Linked DNA regions of Oreochromis niloticus. Each later gene encodes a partner of the first gene's protein in a complex. Links are inferred from orthologs where the notes say so. Each region holds a gene or a part of one and is shown in the gene's direction. Other genes may lie near its edges.

What was found.
Region 2: coa1 (region 1) and acad9 share a complex: the UniProt entries of both Homo sapiens proteins name them as parts of the mitochondrial complex. The link is inferred for Oreochromis niloticus from reciprocal best matches to the Homo sapiens genes COA1 and ACAD9.

Annotation. Positions count from the first base shown.
Region 1 is NC_031982.2:1,693,185-1,703,551, forward strand, and holds the start of coa1 (cytochrome c oxidase assembly factor 1 homolog), read left to right. Parts: upstream 1-6,270; 5' UTR 6,271-6,546; coding exon 6,547-6,604; intron 6,605-9,607; coding exon 9,608-9,715; intron 9,716-10,367. Other genes in the region: uncharacterized protein LOC100710183, read right to left, coding at 1,364-1,455, 1,531-1,576, 1,918-2,116, 2,304-2,619, 4,046-4,201, 4,464-4,537, 5,736-5,814. UniProt on the Homo sapiens protein: Component of the MITRAC (mitochondrial translation regulation assembly intermediate of cytochrome c oxidase complex) complex, that regulates cytochrome c oxidase assembly.
Region 2 is NC_031970.2:37,936,548-37,947,096, forward strand, and holds the start of acad9 (complex I assembly factor ACAD9, mitochondrial), read left to right. Parts: upstream 1-6,065; 5' UTR 6,066-6,174; coding exon 6,175-6,357; intron 6,358-8,658; coding exon 8,659-8,752; intron 8,753-8,878; coding exon 8,879-8,980; intron 8,981-10,549. UniProt on the Homo sapiens protein: As part of the MCIA complex, primarily participates in the assembly of the mitochondrial complex I and therefore plays a role in oxidative phosphorylation.

The DNA of each region.
Region 1 (10,367 bases):
TTGAATTCTTTGAAGAAATATTCACTCTCCCACCGTGTCTGAAATTTTCTGCATTCACTTTCTACCTTTCGCTTCTTTGGTTCTGCCATGTTTGGTAACTTGGGGTAAATTTCTTCTGTGATTGTCCTTTTTGGTGGAGCAACTGCCTTGATCAACAGCAGCTCCCCCTGGTGTTAAAACTAAGAAGTGCAATACACTCAAGCAAAAGTTGAAGTGCGGGCCATTTTCTATCCTATTTATAAAATTACTTGAGGGCCAATTAAAAAGCCGGACTTTGGACACCCCTGTCTTATGCAGAACTATATTTGTAAATATTTTCCCCCAAAAGTACAATGCACAACTAGCAATGTTAACTTGCAAAGTCAGTGAAATGGTTGTTCTGTCACAGTCTGGCTGAGCAGCTGACTGTGTGAAGTATGAATAGTGGACCCAAGTGCAGACAAAAATGGAATGTGGAACAAAACTTGAATGTTAACAGAAAGCAAGCCGTTTCTTAAGGCTGGTAAAAACTATACAAAACAAAAGGCAGAGATGAAGCTAAACTGGGCAGACTAAAGATATACATAAAAACCAAAACATGAAACTCGCCGTGGATACAAAGATACCTGAAACCTGGAGCGTAGAAGCAGAGACGCATGGAAACATGGCACAAACGACAACAGACAACATGATAAAGAATGAACAGAAACACACAGACTAAATACACACAAGTGTGATTAGAGGAAATGAAAACACATGGGAAACAGCTGGCACTAATTTGACATATTCGTCCATATTTATCTGATCTTCTACATTTGTACTACATTTGTACTCGCCCCCTCATACACTTCGCTCTTCTTCAGCTTCCCTTCTGTCTGTTCCACATGCTTGCCTAACTACAATGGGACTCAGAGCCTTTAGTTGTTCTGCCCCAAGACTTTGGATGTACCTCCACCAGATCTCCGGACCACAAACTCTTTCACCACTTTTAAGTCACGTCTCAAAACCCATCTATTCAGAATTGCATACACCTGATTCTGTATTAGTCCATTTTAACTTGCTCAGCTTTTATACTGTCATGCTTGCTTTTTTCTTCTTTAACTTATGTCTAAATTTTATTTGCAATGTTTCAATATATTGAATTGTTGCTATTGTTCTTGTGCTATTGTAAGGTAACCTTAAGATGTTATAAAACGTATCATTATTATTATTATTATTACTATTATTGTAGTATTTCACTGCAAATAGAATACAAATGATAGGAAAATTCAATCATTTCCAGACAGTAAGCATGTGTGTCAGGCACGAATGTGTATTCAAAATTGAAGTGAGACTGATTTAAGCCTCTATGCTCTAATGTGAACAGCAAGTTTTTGCATTATACCTCGATGGAAATCCATGCTTCTGTACAGCCTCAAGGAAGAACGTCAGCGCTGTAGAAGCCTTGTTGTTGTTAGCTGCTTTCAAGTACAAGATCTGAAAATAAAGAGACATTATGGAAGTACTATTACTAGCATCACATTTTCTGCTATTTTAGTGAAGAATGCAAACCTTCCTTGAGAAGCCATCAACACCACCAAACATCACAAGTCCATATCTGCAAAGAGACAAAGACACAGCCCCTAAGACTTCAGCCACTGAGTATAATTAATTAATTGCATTTTTCACCAATAATCAAAATATAAAACATTACAAGTTAGGACTTGTCAAATTTGAAAGTGGATCGCACATTTCGAAAAGCATGCAAAGGCTGGTGAACTTCTCTTAATCTGTTAGAATTTAGAGAATATATATATATACATATATATATATATATATATTACTACTAACTTGGCGGTAAAGTAATGGCGTAATGTAAAATACAGTGTTTGCATATGCATTAATGAGTTAAATATTAATGGGCCCAAATGTGCCCTATGACTATTATGTTAAACTTACCTAATTAACTTATGGTTGGTGTCAATGTGGAGCAGTGACAGAGGACCAGGAACACTGTATGTCCTTCTAACAACACATCCAAGATTTGCCATCCTTTCAAGGATTCCAGCACTGTCAACACGACGCATGGAATCCCATACTCTGTTCCACTGCACCCTGTGGCCCAGTGCCCTGAGGCGTCCTTTAACCATTCTGTAGCCTAAAAAGACATCCCATAGTGAAACAATTACAACAGCACATTGGAAGGCACTTATAGTACAGTAAATCAAACTACTAACTAATCATGACATTCAGCTAGTGTTATTCATGTAAATATGAAAGGTTGCAAGCAAGAAAAATAAAATAGAATCTTATTACAAGCATTATTTTTCACATGAATAACTAACCCAGACATTTCGATTCCTGTTTTATGGCTGCAATTAAGTTGTCAAGTTCATCATCTGATAGTGAGCTGTAGGTTGCCGTTATTGAGAGGCCCCACTCTTCCATTCTTCGTCGGACTGTTTTCTGCAATATGCCCAAAAGCTTGGAGATACAAGGAACGGAGAGGTCCATCTTTATTAGATCTTTGAGGTGGTCTTTGGAAACATAGAGCTTTGCCCTCCCCCGTTCACCAGCTGAGCTGTCAACAACAATGGCAGACCTTCTCGTATCCATATTGGAATGGATGAGGCAGATAAGGTGGTGAAGAGCTTCAACTACCTAAAAAATGGTTGCATTAAAATATTTAGTTGGATGAAATCCTAGAATTCAGTTTTACCATCTTAGTAACATTATTCTTATCCCCAATCTTTATATTGAAACTAGAGCTGGGCGATATAAGATTTTTTCATATCACGATATGTTTTTTTCATTTCAGGCGATAACGATATATATCACGATATAAGCCAAATAACTATATTTGTAAGTTTTAAATGTGCCGTTACTCACAAGTAAAATGTGAAATAATCAGCAGCTTGTTTTGATTTAAATATTTATTTCCCATAATAAGTTGTATTATGTATGAATGTGTGTGTGAATGGGTGAATGACTGGATATGTAAAGCGCTTTGGGGTCCTTAGGGACCATAAAAGCGCTATATAAATACAGGCCATTTACCATTTAAGTTCAACAGGGTAGATGTACTTAAGGAACATGAGACTTCAGTTTCAGATAAATAAAGGCAAATATTGCAAACTACACAAAAGGCAGCCGCTAAAGCGTTTAAGTTTCAAAATAGAACAAACAAAACAGACTAAATTGTCAATTCCACTTAGAAACAAAATATTAATTCTAAAAATAAATCTTAGTTTGTTTTACAGAAGAACAGACAAAATTGACTAACTTTTGTCAATATCAAATAAACTGAGAACTAAAAGGAAATTCTCAATCTCTCCTTGTTGTATAGCTTAGCTTTTCAAACAGTTTTAACAGTTACTTTAGTCTGACAAAAGCCGAATGACGAATCAGCGCTTTCAGTCAGAGATTGAGCATGCACCGCTTTATTGTATTTCCAGACTTGCTTTCGGCACAATTTACAGTGCGCGCTACTCTGTTTTTTGTCAGACTTGAAATAGCCGAAATACCTTCACACTACGGAACTTCTGTGGCCCTTCCGTTCGACAAGCTCTCCGGCATTGGAACCATCATCTGTTTTTTCTTCGGTAACCTTCGCTCACGCTCTCGGTTGATTTTTCTCTAGTCGGCACACTCACTTCCTTCATTACCCGGGCTGCACGGCTGCAAAAACAAATACACATGTGCGCCTTGGCGCTTGTGCTGTACGTAACAAGTCACGTGACGTGACGCTGCGGCTGTGATTGGTTCGGCTCTGCGCTACTTAATTTTGATTGGCTGTTCTTTTTTTTCTTTTTTTTTAAGAGGACAAGAGAGATGAGGCCTATCGCAATAGTTTAATTTTTCTATCGAGAAAAAGTTATTTCGCAATACATATCGTTATCGTTTTATTGCCCAGCTCTAATTGAAACACAGAACAAAATTTCATCTTGGATTTAACAAAGCAATGGATGACAGGTTTATTTGTATAGCATAATTACTACACTGTAAAATTAACATTATAAGATACATAAGAATGGCATATATTGAAACGATTTTTAAAGATAACCAAAACTAAATCAAATAAACCTACCAGTGATGGAACATTAATATGAGCAGAAAGAGAACAGACTAGAGTTGATGCGTTCACGCAGAGGAACTCAATATGATCAAGGTCCAAGGGCTGCTGTTGGTAGGACTGCACCAGCCTATTTTGAAGGTTTTGGAAAACATGTCTTCCTAAAGCCACCTGAAAGAAGAAAAAATTGATGGAATTACTGATATCATATGAAGTGCATTGAAGGAACAATGATATGTCAAACTGCGTAAAACTCAATAAAACCAAATAATATTCTCATGAAAATCTTTTTATTTTGATTAACTTTGTAATACAGTAAAGAAACTGAATTGCATTAAAAATTATTTTTAAATATGTTCTATCCTGTGCCACCTTGCTATATTCAAAAAATTCAAACAACATTACTTTAATAATGAAAAAAAAATGAACTCACCAAAGAGTCACAGGGACATCCAGGTTCTCTGTTCTGGAGGGAGATAGACCAAGGTCCACTTGATTTACAGTCACCTGTTAAGTAAAACAATCAGACAATTTTCAAAGATTTACACGTTTCTCTATGGATGTATCATACACTCTCCTATTTAGAAGGGTTCTCTCTGAAGTACCCCGTGGATGTTCCCATGATGACACAGATGACCCACAAATTTAGTATAGCACACTTCAAAACACATAACCCGATGAAGAAAGACTTTAAAAGTCCCTAAACACATTTGACATCTGTTAGGGTTGAAAATTTATTTACAAGTTTACAAAATTATTAAATAAGGCTGTTTCATTATTTTTTTAAGATGTACACAATGCAAATGTGCTCATAAGCATGTTGGCACTCCATGTTTGAAGGTTGAGAGCGTCATTCAGCGCTGTATTTGAAATATTGCAGGGACACAGAGTGCAGAGGGGTTTTTTGCAGCATGCTTACAAACACACGATAATGGTTAGATTAGTCTCTGGGTTAGGGAGTCTGAACAAGATGCCCTGAACTGGGCCTTAGAATCAGCATCTGTTTTTATGTCACAGTATATAAGCTGTAAAGCCCGTTTCAGCATTATCCTTTTTGGGAAGCTGGTTCACACAAAAGGCTGGCACTATAAACTTGTAATTTCAACTGCTGAAGCAAATTCAATCTTTTTAAATCTTTTTCTCCTGAATTCCTTCTTAAAATTTTGAACAAGACACATCCAGTAAAGCAAATATCAACAGACGTTAGCTTACTGACACCAGACAGACACTGCACTACAGTTACTACAGAAGCATTCTTGGTCAATCTGGTACTGTATGACAGAGTACTTCTTAATGTCGCTGCCTATAAGCTGTCATAAATCCCAAAACGCTCACTGAAGCTAGGTCCCCTAACTTTCAGTAGCTGCTGAAAGTTGTTGTGTGCTGTAATTACTGTAGTATTACTCTAACACAAACTCGGGGGTGACCTGGGACCAGTGCTAAGGTCAAGTCAGAGCATTTCAGTTCCAATTATTACCAAAACGACATCTCATCGGGATTAAACTCCAAACACATAATTCTCCACGATGCTGATGTTTAAGCAGACAGACCGTGCCACACAGGAGACTATTTGAACACATGCAACACTAGGGCTAATGTTGAGAGCCCTTTTTAGGCTAGCTTTTGGCACCGAACCGAACATGATATTCAAAAATATATGTCTGGACAATTAGCTTGTTCCAGTAAACCATAAATTAAAGCTTACTTGCGCCGCAGAAGCGCCACCGCTGCCCTCCATCTTCAAATTGTGTTACCCTTCCAGGACCTGAAGGTCCGTAAAGCATCCCGCCCCCCGTCAGCCAAACCCATCTGTTCTCTGATTGGATTATTTAATTTGTGATTGACATGACATTGACCAATCAGCTTAAAGGAAGAAAAATAGGGTCAAAATTCGTACTTGTAACTTGCAGGGTTTTTTTGGCTAAGTCCACACACAAATCTTTTTTACACACACACAAATTTTTTTTACACATACAAATCCTGATTTACAAGTACAAAATATTTATGACCACATTTTGAGCCCATAGACTTGGTCAGGAGTTATTTGTTTTAATGTCTATATTTAGAGTTTCAATGAGTCTTTTTTCACTTTCAATACAAAATGTTTCTGTTTATTTATTTTAGTTACAATATTATTTTTCAATGCCAATATTTTTTAGTTTCATTTTAAGCTGGCTTCTTTTAAACCCCATAAGAAATCAGATGATAAAGTACAGAGAGTGGAACTGGTACTACACGAAGGAGTCAGGAGTGACATGTGAGGGTGATGCAGGACATGTATGAGGCCAGAGGGACGGTGGTGAGACGCGCTGTGCTGCTGATGAACCACCATAAACAGGTCTCATGTAGTACTGCGGTAAAGGACGGCTTCCAGCTTCAGCTTCTTTCTGCAAAGAGTCTCACTGAATCATGCCCGACAGGATCTAATATCATATTTGGATAAACACCGCCTGCGCGAACAAGCGACGACGGGCGCAACCGGCTGTTTAATAAAGCGCACCCACAACCGATTGGCTATGTGTTTTGTGACGTTAACGGATGTAGAGCGAATACAATGGTCCGCCGTAACGCAAGGTGAGTGTTTGTGTAGATGTGTGACCGGCGTGTGGTGTTATAGTTGTATCCACGGATGCAGCCCTTGAACTGTGACACACCTTAGCTATTTAAATATCATTTTCTTTCAAGTGAATAACGACATTTAGACATATATAGAAGATAACCTTGACATGCAGTGTATGTGTTTCAGCAAACTGGACATCTCAGCCCTTTGTCCTCGTTTCCCTTCCTCAAGAAGCAAATTATATTTAAAAAAGAAAAGTGTTAGTTTTTCAAACCCCGTGTGCTTAGCTATACTTAGGGTGACCAACTGTCCTCTTTTTTTGCACTTGTTGACTTGTAAAAGCTTTTATGACACTTTTTATTTCACCTTTTACCGCACAGAGAAGGCATCATTTAAATATGTTTTCTTTAAGCAAACAGTATTATTAAAGTTCTTCATGACTGGGCCAAGTGTCCTCTTTTTTTGGAAATCAAAATATGGTCACCCTAACTATACTTATTTACTTGTTGCTTCTGTAGACAGTTTGAAAAATCTACACAGATGCATCAAAGAATACAGCCAACCAAAGCGGGATAGCATTTATTGTTCCTGAGTTTAATATCAAGGTCGGGAAAAGGATCAGTGACGATTTATCAGTGTACACAGGAGAAATGGTTTCAATATTGTTAGCTGTCCAGTGGACTGAAGAAACCAGACCACTAAGATCTGTGATACGCTCGGACTCGAACTCATCACTGGCTGGTTTGCAAGGCAATCACTCAGAATGCAGACCTGACATTCTGATAGAGATCCAGCAAACATTATTCAGAACTGTTATGATGGGGCTTATGGTCACATTCTTATGAGTATCAGCAGAAATGAAACAGCAGATAGGACAGCAAAAGAAGCAACAAGGAGACCAATGATGGATATGGTTATTAGTGTTAGTAGGACAGAGATCAAGAGTAGAATACGATACAAAATGAAGGAAAGGTGGCAAAAGCAATGGGAGGAAGAGAGGAAAGGCCGATGGTTTTACAAAATCCAAAGGAAAGTAGGAGAAATGAGATGTACAGGAAGAAACAGGAGAGAGGAGACGGTTGTATCTCGACTTAGATTCGGACACACTGGTTTGAATAGCACATTACTTTTAATAGGAAAACACTGTACAGGGGAGTGTGACTGCAGTAGGGAACAGGAAACAATAGAACGTTTTGTTGCATTGTCAAAGTATGATGTTGAAAGAAGACAACTGATCAAAAAGCTGGATGATATGAGAGTCAAGTTGGACTTGATTGATTTATTTCGTACAAACTCTGTAAGTGAAAATAATCAGGCTGTATTTTGGTTTTTAAGGCAGACCCATTTGTTTGGGAAGATTTAAATTTTTGTATTTTTTTTTTGTCATTTCGGTCCACACTCCACGCCAGTTGGTGGCGGTAATGCACCATTTTGCTGTTTGCCAACCACCAATAAACCCCATAAAGAAGAAAAGAAGCGTTCGTCTTCTCTCTCTCCATGAGTTTGACCTTCTTAGGCCTCTGCATGTCAGCTAAACAGAGACTCTCAGCTGCAGTTAAACTTCCTTATTATCGTGGTGCAGCCATTGTTTTCATCCTCAGTCTGACCATTTTAGGGAGATCCACTTGCGCTGATATAATGCTGCCAGGCTGAGCCTAACATTTTGGCTCATCAGTTTCCGTTTTATTTGTCATATAGAAGTTAGCACAGGATCAAAATGTATTTGACGAGCAGAAGACAGTCACTCCGCAGTATAGTAAGGGTTAAGGGTCAGTAAGAGTGAGGGTTTTTATTTTTATTGAAATAGTAATAAAAAAAATAAAAATGGGGTGACCAGTGCTGAGTGTATTATGTACCTGTGAAACTGCAGAACAGCTGTGTGCATCCTGTGAAGTGTTGTGGTTGAGATGTCGACTTGGTGGTAAAAACAGTTTTTGAGTCTTGTAGTCGGAGCAGACAGACTCCTGTAACGTCTGCCAGATGGTAACAAGGAGAACAGCTGATGTGCTGGGTGGCTGTGGTCCTTGATGATGCTGTGTGCTTTACGGAGGCACCGTTGAAGATAGATCCTGAATGACAGGAGTCCTCATGCTCTGCTGCTTTCACTCTCTGTAGAGATTTCCGGCTGCTGGCAGAGCAGCTTCGAACCAAACTGTAGTGCAGCTCATCAGCAAGCTCTTGATCGCACACCTGTAGAAGTTTGAGGTTATGTTGGCGTTCATGCCAAACTTCCTCAGCCTCCTCAGACAGTAGAGTCGGTGGCGAGCTTTCCTGATAGCAGTGTCTGTGTGAAGGGTCCAGGAGAAGTCCTCAGTGATGTTGACTCCAAGGAATTTGAAGCTGCTGACCCTTTCGACCTTGACACCGTTGATGTGGATGGGCTGGTGTTCCCCGACTGGTCGTTTCCGGTAGTCCACTATCATTTCTCTGGTTTTGCTGATGTTAAGAGACGGGTTATTTCCAGGCACCACTCGTACAGCACCATCACCTCCTCTCTACCTGTGCTAGCTTTGGACATGTTCAATCTTAGCATCCACCATAAAAACAGTAGATACATGACTGAAAATAAGGGAAAAAATCAAAAGCATGAACCATACTTGACTTTATAGCTATATGTATTGGATGTATTCACAGTTATTTGGATATGGAGTGGTTATTCTTATGGTGCACTTTGTGATGGATTATGTATGTGCATGTATGTGTCTTTGTGTGTTGGCAACCTTTACCATCATTAGCTGAACTGTCTCATGGATGCAGGCGGTGATATTAATAGTACTTGTCCAACTGTATGTGCGTAGGAGAGAGGGTCAGTGCGTCACCATATTTTTTGCTATTAAAAATGACAAAACATGTTTTTTCTTTTTCAGAAAATTGGAAATGTGTAAGACTTAAGCCTCTCAGAAACTTTTAGATTGTTTTCTAAAGTCACCACAGAATTCACGGCAAATCATGAATACTTCCTTATTAAAACACCGATGCTCTCTGTATACCGACCAGATCATTGTCATTCTTTGCAGGAAAGAAAGCAAGCATGAGGATTTCCAACAGTCACCTGCAGCAGCTCACCATCTTCACCACTGTGCTGACGGGTGGAGGGATTGGCACCATGTACTACCTGCTACAGAGTGAGTACAATGCTCTGTGTGTGCTTCATTTACAGTTCGGCCAACGCTTCCAGTTAGTGAAACTTTTCATGTCAGCAGCTTCGATCATGTACTGTAGCTCTCGGAAATTTGCCATTTGAGAGTGTAGAAAAATTCAACTTGATGTTAACTTCAGCTGAGAGTGAATTCTTCAGGTTTTTAGCTCAGCAGAACTGGGCTGGCTTCAGGAATTAGTGCAATCCTGTGGTTGGTATGCATGCACATGTTCAAAAACATGGTGATCTAATTACTGTTTGAATGTCATCACCTGTTTTGGTGGTTTAATGTAGTTTAATTTGGGTTTAAAGTAAATGATAAAGCAGAGGTGCATGTTAATGTACTTTTATTAATTGTAAACCTTATGCACATTATGTGTGCAGTGAGTGAATCCAGCTGATAAAGCCTAACCCTAACCCTTCTTGCTCTAATGTCTGGCCCTCTTCTACCTCGACCCCTGACAGCTGTAAGTCTGAACCTCTTTCCAATATTCTGACTCTTTATCAGAGTTATCAAAATCGTTTGTTACTTTAAGGAATTGTCTAATCTAATTAGAAATCCCTTTTAAAATGAATGCGCAGAGTAAAGACAGGAATCTTTTAGCTCTCAGAAAATGTAAATATTAAAGTGAGTGTAC
Region 2 (10,549 bases), on another chromosome or scaffold:
GTTCCACTCTGGTTTGAAAAGCATATATAAACAAGTAAAACCTCCCACGTGTGCAAGCAGAGTTTAGAGTTTGTGTACAAGTCCATAGGGCAGTTTCAAGTGATATTTGTGGATTTACAAAGCAGGTTCCATACTTGGCACAGTTTCCCCTCTACATGTGCTAACTCTCACATCAAACAGTACAACCTGCCTCTTATTGAGGTGATACTCTAAGCAAATAAGATGCAAAAACTATGAGAACTGCTTCAATATTTCCTGGAAAGGTTGAGTGAGGATGTAGATTTGCCAAGACCTTACAACCTGGCAACCCAGAGCTTGTGCTTCTTAAAGTTTTATTACTGATTTTGTAAAGCATTTAATAATGTTAAAAAAAAACTATCTAATTAGATTCTTTATCTTTTTTTTTTAGAAAAAGAACAATTTTATTTAAAGGTACGTATTTAAAATTGATGGTTAAAAACCTTCTGAAATGAACTGAAGCCATCAAATAATGTGGAAAAAAAATACTATGACTTCATGGACATCATCTCTGTATGGTATTAACCCTGAAAAGCCTGAACCAAGAAATAACTGCCAGGAAATTCACACTCTCAGAACACTCTTTTTGAGAGTGTTTATTCAACCTTACTTTTAATTTTTTACAAAAAAGAAGTGAAATATCAATTTGCATATATGAGTTTTAATTTATTGCTACAACCGGCATTTTTGTGCAATTTATTGCTTAAAAGTTTATTGTGCAGTTTATTCAGGTTTTTCAGGAAAAAAGAAATCACATTGATAATGTAAGGGTCTAAAAAACTCATGTATCAATTATGATATACTTGGCATTACAGGGTTAAGTTAAAATAGGACCCAACTGTACTTTCATGCAATGCACATTTGTTCCACAAGATGGTGCTGAAATAAATGTAACATTATAACTTGTAAATCAGGTAAATCATTAGGAAAACATTCCTATTTGCAATGGTGGCCTGCAAAAGGCAACACGTTAAAAAACATAAAAAATGAAAAGAACGACACCGCCGAAAACATTTCAACACACCTGCTGAGAAAACCACTGCCTCCTGGTGGTGAAAGTTTTATTAACGCATGCGTACAATTTGCAGTGTGTGTTTACAAAAAGTACCTTTAAAATAGATTTTGTTGTGTCCGTGCACTGTAGGCTCCTGTAACTTTCACACCTTATAGTTGGCTGCAGTTTCTGTGCTACAGAGTCAGGAAAGTGCCAATATTGCATTGTTGAAATCAGTTTAACGTGAAATCTACTGGGGCTATATTTAAACCCCAATGCTGTACATGACCAATCACAAAGTTTGTCTTCAGTCCAGGGTTCGAACACTAACAGGCTGTTAGAGAGTAATGGTACAGGCAGACACCAAGAAAGGAGCCCGAGTTACTTTTATTACGCTACAACCTTCCAGTTCCTTCAGAGCACTGATCTATTGTGAAACCTGTCCAGATTCCATGTGAGGTGCTTTGTTGCATGCCATTGATGCCTACTGTTTCTTTCTTCTGCTCTCCTTTTTTGGTTTTGTTTGTTTTTGTTTTTTCAACTGTTGCTCTGTCAAGCGGCGTGCTTGACTAGAACTTAACCTTCCAGCATAGCTGTGACTTCTCTGACTTGTGCTTGTTTACATCTAGACGAGTTTTGGACTGCTAGTGTGTCTTTTCATTTGTGCATCATTCTCCTCCGGCATGCATTTCACCCATATTTCCACTGTAGAGTATAAAGACCTGGCAGCGTACTGCTGAGTGTAAATATGAAATCTAATGTAACTTGAAGTAAAAGTAAAGAGGGCTGGACATGGAGGAAATATTTTAATGGCAAGTTGGTAATAAAGAATGAGTAACATATGTAAATAGTCTGTAAATTATTGTTATTAATTATTCTTATTATTACTATTCAGTGTCTACAGTTACATTGAAGGTGCATTCCTGCTCCCTTGTGATCTTTACATAATCAAACTGCTTCTCTCTGCCTCCGACAGGACTGAATTATCATAGGATCTAGAGATGAACAGCCAATTGTTACACGGTTAACACCGCTTCTGTCGTCTTTCCTGAGATGCTTCTGTTTTCTCACACTCACAGCCAGACTTCTGAAGTCAAAGGGAAGAGAGGAGTGCTCTTATTTTATTATGCATTCTGTTTCTAAGTAGAAAAATACCCATTGATGTAAAACTAGTACTGTGACAATGTTGAGAACGCAAAATAAAATGATATACAGTCAAATCGGAGCAGTTGTCTGCCTGTTTGCATCCTGCTTGGTATTTCTTGGTGTCAGATGAACGACTGGGAAGATCAAGGAGCTACACTTCTTGTAGGCTGAATTCTAAGATCCCTAAATGAGTGAATGCATGAAAGCAGATGGAGAGGAGGAAGTAAATATGGCTGTGCTGTAGGCTCCTCTGTACCCTGACCTGAAGGCCGCATTCCTACTTTGCTGTACAGCTTTATTGTCCTTTTTTTTTTTTTAATGCAAAAGTATGTGCATCCCAGAACTGAACTGGCATAGTCTTCCAGATCAGTCTCACCTGCAAACATTTCCCAGTCCGTATTGTCAGGTCAGTCTTGCAGTATTGCAGGTTGCTGTTTTGACTTCAAGTCTTTCTCTGCAGATCTGTGGTGTATACCAGAGTAAGGCAGAAATGATCTAATAGCCTCAGCTGTGCAGATAGATGTGTCTTATGAGCTCTCTGTATATTTGTTTTACCACTCCCTTTAATGTCCATGCTCATTTAATGTCCATGCTCATAATAAAATATGAATTCTCACCTGTTACTGTGTCTTAAGTTGGTTTGAACAACCAACAAAGAGCAGATGCTGGCAGGTTTAGATGTTTATTGAAGTGCAGCAAGACGGATACTGGTAAGATTGAGAGTTTTCAAGTGTCTTACTCAGAACTCAGGAGGTGTACTTGGTCAGCTAGTTGCTGAGAGGGGATGGGTGGAGAGCTGGCAAGCAGGTGGAGAGGAGGTTAGTCCTTTGAGGGTAAATGCACTGGCATGCCAGAGCTGAGAAAAGCGGCTGATGGTGCTCACAGTCTTCAGGCATGTGTGACTTGGAGGCAGCAGGTTTCTCTTGTTCACAGAGAAAGAGCGTTACACAGGCACAGGAGATTACAGACAACCACAGCAAGGACAATCACCACCCATCAACAAAAAAATAATTAATTACACCATTAGGAATAGGCGTGGGAAGAACTGTCCAGACAGGAAAACCCGAGACTTAATGCCAGTCCAGCAACTCCACCTGAGACTGAGAGCAAAAGGGTACCAAAAAAGGAGGAAAATATAAGAAACTAAAGCCCATCCGGACAAAACATGTCAAAGTGGCCATTTTGGCCTCTATCAGGTGCCAACAATTGAAAATAAATGCATTGCACCATTTGGTAAATATTGTAGAGATAATTTTGAACATAGCTCTAATGGGTTAGGTTGTTCTAGACCTGCATGCACTATAGAAGGAATATTTATACATCCTATAGAGGCTTTTCTACTTCAAAGGGTTTTGTGCCAGCACTTGAGCAGGTTTTTCCTAACCCCAAACATGGTGTGGTGGCTGAAAATCGGGGAACTATATAGGAGTCCAAAACATCTTAGGACAGCATCTCTGTGATACAGTCATCCTAGTCATATGACCAGACTATAACAGATATTTTCCAAGAACCCGGTGGCTGTATACATTTCTTCCTTGGCACCTTTGGAGACCCAACCTTGTTTTAGAGTTTTATGAATCAAACACTGTCATGGAAGCTGCGGTGACTCCAATGGGAAAGGAAATCTTAGCACAGTGGATCAGCAATTACCCATGAATTTCTTGTGATAGCCACTGATCTTTGGGGTACAAATTTAAGACCAGCATGTGGTGCTTTTTTGTAGCAGTATGGTCTTTAAAGAGTGTAAAGAGTTCTATTTTAGCCACTGGCACTGCATCAGTGGAAAAGATGTACTAGAGCTCCAGAACCTCTGCCTGCTTCTTCATTCTTCCTAAAGGTGTCAATATTACATTTCAAAAGGTCCTGCTGAGAGTAGTCATAGAATATTCTCAAGAGTGCTTTAAAGGCTTCTCTACCCAATGATGGTCCTATAGCTGAAGAAACTAGGGCCTTTAAAGAACTGGGGTTTTTTTATATGTATATGTGATATATTCAGTCTTTATACCCTATTCTTCTTAAAAGTTGCCTAGTGTCCCTTATGTAGATTTTTACTGAATTGAAATAGACTGCATAGTTGTGGAACCAGACTCTTTTTTTTTTTTTTGGCTTTTGTATACTCAGCCTACAGCCAGTCTGACAGTACACAGTCTACTCTAGCAGGATAAAGTGCTTTGAAATATCTAGCATTGCAAATGTTTACACTTTAAGGATCAACGTCTTGCTCAAGAGCAGGGTGGGCAGGGGTTAAAACTATCAACCCTGTTAGTTAACCACTGGCTCCTGAAACAGAGTGTGCAAGGACAGGACTATCTACAGTAACTGAGACTAGATTAGCTCAGAATTGGTCTTCTTAGAGTGTTTCCATTATTAGATTTAGTGCACACTATGCATGTATTCGTGCATTTATGTATTATCTTGTATTGGTCGGGAACTTTCATGCAAACTTGAAACTCCACATCCTCAGTTTGACCTGACAACATCATCTTGATTTTATTCTCAGCTTTAAATTCAGCAGCACATAAGACATTGTACAAGTACTCCAACAGGGCGAGTACTACCTTGTGATGAATAAAATGACCTTTATGTGTGAATTTAGTGGAATTCCTAAAATCCCTACATTCCATGAAACAATAGTGAGGATATGATACCCACTGTCCTCGGCTGCAGCTATACTGTCCTGCCCATGAGTGATACATATGTGCTTCTATTTTCCTCCCCTTCACGTAGCTCCAACAATACAGAGGTCACCAGGGACACTGAGATATTTCTATCAACCTAAACAAAATTCTCAGGAAGTTGAAGCCTCTGATGAAGGTCACAACTGCAGTACTCTTATTCTTTTTTCAGTCTCGCACAGCCAGCATGCCTTGGCTGCTTGCCTAACTGTGGCAGGTGGTCTGAGTGACAGTTTGCCCTGTTTGTCTGTCTGGCCCTTGAGGCTGGATCTAAAAATAGATTCCAGCAATGAGGGCCACATCCGTAGTGTCAGCAGGACAACGTCATCATGCGGCCGGGAGGGACCAAGTACAGGGCTTCATTTCCTCTGCCAGCAAAGAACAGCATGTATTAGACAAGTACACATTCAATGATACGGAAGCAAACCAGCTCCAGGTTTTTATTTCTGTCAGTAGGGTGTGTGCATATTTTTCTTTTATTTATACAGCTTTTAAATATCTTAGTTGGTGGTGAAAATTATTCTACACACATGACAGTGGATAAAGAAAAGAAAAAAGTTATTGTCCATCATTTAGGTCCAGTTTCCAGTACAAGTCAGAAGCAGAGCCCTCTCTACTCTAGGGCTGAGTGGTGTCTTTGCATAATACGTCATCTAGTGGAGTCCTGCAGATATTACTATGATATGTTCAAGTACCGTCGGAGATTTCGAAAAACCAATAGCACTAGTATTCATGACATACACGAAATTTAATTTCTTTAAAGGTCTTGTGTTTTCCAACTTTAAATTCGAGGGCTCATAGTCAGCGAGACGGAGGATCATGGAGTCACGTATGGGTTTGTTTTTTTGTTTTTTTCCTGGGATTGCTCTACCTGAAAGCTACAAATATGAATTGCATATTTTAGTAATGAAACATGAGTGAAACATATACATTATATACGGATAACTTGGTGAATAAAATAAAATATAATTCAACAAACACTTTAAAAGTCACAATCTTTATGACCACGGTCTTCTGTAAAGAACACGTGAAAAATAAAAATCAAAGTTGGTGAAAGAGTTATTTTTTACAACGATATTGATTTAGATTTTTTTGTAAAACACACAAACAAACAAAACAAAACATAATTTGTTATTCAAAGTTACATACCGAGCTTACTGGCAGTGTAATGTGTTAGAAGACCGTTCGCATTTGTCTATAGTTTACATGGGTCAGAGAACGCCTCTCGAACATATCTGTTACGTCATCAGCATGGGACAGAAACGGGTGAAAGGTACTTTGCTGCTTTGGTTCGGGAGCAGACCGATGGCTCTATGAAGTAGGGAGGTTTCTGCTAATAGAATGATGAACATGAACAGATTAATCGTCTTCTCTCGAACCTTTCGCATTGGACAGCGGTTGCTTGGCTGTCACGCGAGGCATGCTGGGAAAGAAGAGCTGAGACTACAGCAGCGGAGGAGCATTAAAACTCACTCCAGACACCTGGCGTATGCGAAGGATCTGTTCCTCGGTCAAGTGAACAAGGTAAAGGAAAAGAGCTGCCAGAACGCCTTACCAAGATAGTGATGGGCGGAGGAAGTCGTTTCAGAAAAGACTTTGTACTTTAGATGATAACTATATTCAACGCTAACAATCACCACCGTTCTAGCTTCGAATGAAGTATCGTTTGTCGTTTAGGAAACAAAGGGCTTTAGACGCAACACCAGAAAAATAAGACAAATAAAATGCAGGGAAGCTTGAAAAAACTGAGGCTGAGGCACTGTAACACCTGTTTGGAGTAAATGGTGATAGAGACTTTAAATATCTACCCAAAGTAAAACCAGTTATCGTGTAGGAAGGTCTGTTTATCTCACACAGTTATCACACAGTGATAACGTCTTCCTTTAGATTCCTCCATGTTGACATGAATCAGAATCAGAATCGTGTTTATTGGCCAAGTATATGTGCAGACAAATACAAGGAATTTGGTTCCGGTAGATGGTGGCTCTCAAGCACAGCAATGTAAATCACACACACGCACACACACACACACACACGTGTCTATATATACATTACACATGCATACACATACATACACAAAGCTGTGTAAACTAACTATAAATAACTAATCTAAACTTATATACATAAAATACAGAAATGAAATGAGGTGGAATGAATTCTTCAGAATGTACATAAGGTGCAGTTGCAGTCTGGCAGTGGGAGCAGTGTGACAGGTCAACTGTTTAGAAGGGAGATGGCGAGGGGAAAGAAACTGTTCCTGTGTCGGGTGGTCCTGGTCTGCAGGCTTCTGTACCGTCTGCCAGAGGGCAGCAGATCAAAAAGTCTGTGTCCAGGGTGTGGGGGGTATGTGATGATTTTCCCTGCCCGTTTCCTGGTTCTTGAGAGGTACAGGTCCTGGATGGAGGGCAGGGGGGCGCCGATGATCCTTTCTGCTGCCCGTACAGTCCGCTGCAGTCTGCTCCTGTCCTGTTTAGTGGCTGCACCATACCAGACTGTGATGGAGGAGCACAGGACAAACTCAATGACCGCAGTGTAGAACTGGATCAGCAGCTCCTGTGGAAGACTGTACTTCCCCAGTTGTCTCAGGAAGTACATCCTCTGCTGGGTCTTTTTGAGGATGGAGTTGATGTTGGTCTCCCACTTCAGGTCCTGGGAGATGGTGGTACCCAGGAACTTGAAGATCTTCACAGTCGACACAGGGCTGTCTGATCTGGTAAGGGGGGGCAGAGTTGAGGGATGTCTCCTGAAGTCCACTGTCATCTCTACAGTCTTAAGCATGTTCAGCTCCAGATTGTGCTGACTGCACCAGAGTACCAGCCGCTCAACTTCCTGCCGGTATGCAGACTCATCACCATCCTGAATGAGGCCAATGACAGTGGTGTCATCTGCAAACTTTAGGAGTTTAACAGCCGAGTTCTTGGAGGTGCAGTCATTAGTGTAGAGGGAGAACAGTAGTGGTGAGAGGACACATCCTTGAGGGGCACCAATACTGAGGGACCGAGTTTCAGAGGTGATCTCCCCCAGCCTCACTTGTTGCTTTCTGTCTGTCAGGAAGCTGGTGATCCACTGACAGGTAGCTGGAGACACGCTGAGCTGGGAGAGTTTGGAGGAGAGAAGTTCAGGCACGATGGTGTTAAAAGCTGAACTAAAGTCCACAAACAGGATCCTGGCATAAGTTCCCGAATCATCACACATTCAGTCTCCCTCTGTAACACATCCCAAGGCTGCTCTGCAGGATTTGTTTCTAAAGTCTGGAAGAGGCCATTAAAAGATGGTAAATCATGGCGATAAAGGGATGCACATGGTTACCAACAACCCTTACAGTGCTGTGATTGCTTCAAGGATCTCAGAGTGTGGAGAGAAAAGATTCCCTACACAGCAACAGCAATCTTTACTTTTGGCACAAGGCAGGTCAGCACAGTGGAATCATGCTCTTGATTCTCCCATCAGGACAGAACAGGGATTCACCAGCTTTTACTTTTCAGTCAAGTTTCTGCTCCCTGCAGTCTTACAGTTCTGTACCTGCCACTCACTGCGTGGTTTCTGCAACATTCTGAGTAAACTCTGGAGACTGATGGGCAGGTGAGCTGGTTCAGAATCATTTAAAACCAGCCCAGGCCACAGTCAGATTCAGGGACATGACCTTTTTCTCCTTTCTCGTATTTAATATGAACATCAGCTTTATCTGCAGGATTTAATGCTTCACACTATCACCACATGTTGGGTTAGAAGTATATAACTATATAACACAAAAATATGACTTGGACATTAACATAGATGCATAACCCTGTTACGATCTCTAAAAAGGCCTGTTTTGTTCTCCAGGCTGAGGTCTTTCCTTATCCGGAAATTGGAAATGATGAGTTGGAGGAGATAAAGCAGCTCGTTGCACCAGTAGAGAAATTCTTCAGTGATGATGGTGAGGTGGGACTTGAGTACATGCATGTGATCAATGACTTTCAGATATGATTTTTCAGAGGAATTAAATGACTGACATTGGAATTGGTGGATTTTGTTTGTTTTTGTTTCGGGGTTTCTTTGTCAGTTGACTCAGCAAAAATTGACCGAGAGGCCACAATCCCCCCGGAGACTCTGCAGGGGTTGAAGGATCTTGGGCTGTTTGGAATCATGATTCCTGAAGAATACGGTGAGATGATTTTAACAAAGCCCTTCTAAAAGCTAGTCTTGTCTCTCGGGATCCATCTTAAAAAATCAGTGAAAATTGATTTCAAAGCATTTTTGAGATGATCTTTAACTCCACCCAACTTTGCCCCAAAGTGAAGTTAGAAGTTAAGAGCAATGGTCTGTACGTTATACTAATACTTTGATCTGTGTTGTTACTTATTTTTACATTCTTTTATTTAGGGTATTTTTTTAAGGACAACTCCTCCCTCATATAATTTGTGTGACTATTTAGCTTGTATACACAACTCTTCTAAGGCTACTAGTTAGTTTCAACATTGCACTATACATAACAGAAGGATGCAGCTCCTGTTTCTGAAAAGTCAAGCCGGTGCAGCAGTGCCTGAAACTTGCATTCTTTTCATTGGCCAGCAGAGGGCAACTTCCTCCTGTGTAGGGCTGCCACAAACGATTATTTTGATAGTCGACTAGTCACCGATTATTTTTGCGATTAGTCGACTAATCAGATCATGCATCGATTGGACGTAAAACTTACAGCTTGAAAATATGTTAAACGTTTATTTTGTGACCCAGAAAGAATAATAAGAGTAATATTAAAACTAACTAGCTGCCGCCATTGTTGACAACTGCGCTGGGCCGCACTATGAATTCTGGGACACAGCTTCTTCTTCTTCGGGGTTTAACGGCAGCTGGCATCCTTTACATGCACTGCTGCCATCTTCTGTTTCAGTCCGTTATTACACTTTTAAATCCTACTACTTATTCCTGCGTCTTTTGGGATCTTACAAAGCTTCAAACGACGCGTCGACTATTAAATCAGTCGTCGACGATTTTGATAGTCGACGTAATCGTGACTAGTCGACTAATCGTGGCAGCTCTACTCCTGTGGTTGCAGAAAAGACATCTGATTGTGTGGACACCCTTAGTGGCATTTATTTCAATTCACTTTTATTTATTTATATATTTATACAGCACCAAATCACAAGAACAGTCACCTCAAGGTGTTTTATATTGTAAGGTAGACCCTACAATAATACATACAGAGAAAAACCCAACAATCATATGATCCCCTATGAGCAAGCACTTTGGCGACAGTGGGAAGGAAAAACTCCCTTTTAACAGGAAGAAACCTCCAAGAGAACCAGGCTCAGGGAGGGGCGGCCATCTGCTGTGACCGGATGGGGTGAGAGAAGGAGAACAGGATAAAAGACATGCTGTGGACGAGAGCCAGAGGTTGAAAACAAGTATGATTCAATGCAGAGAGGTGTTTAAACACATAGTGAGTGAGAAAGGTGACTGAAGAAAAAAATACTCAATGCATCACGGGAATCCCCCAGCAGGTTATGCCTATTGCAGCATAACGAAGGGAGGATTCAGGGTCACCTGGTCCAGCCCTAACTATAAAAAGGAAAGTTTTAAGCCTAATCTTAAAAGTAGAGATAGTGTCTGTCTCCCGAATCCAAACTGGAAGCTGGTTCCATAGAAGAGGAGCCTGAAAACTGAAGGCTCTGCCTCCCATTCTACTTTTAAATACTCTAGGAACAACAAGTAGGCCTGCAGTGTGAGAGCGAAG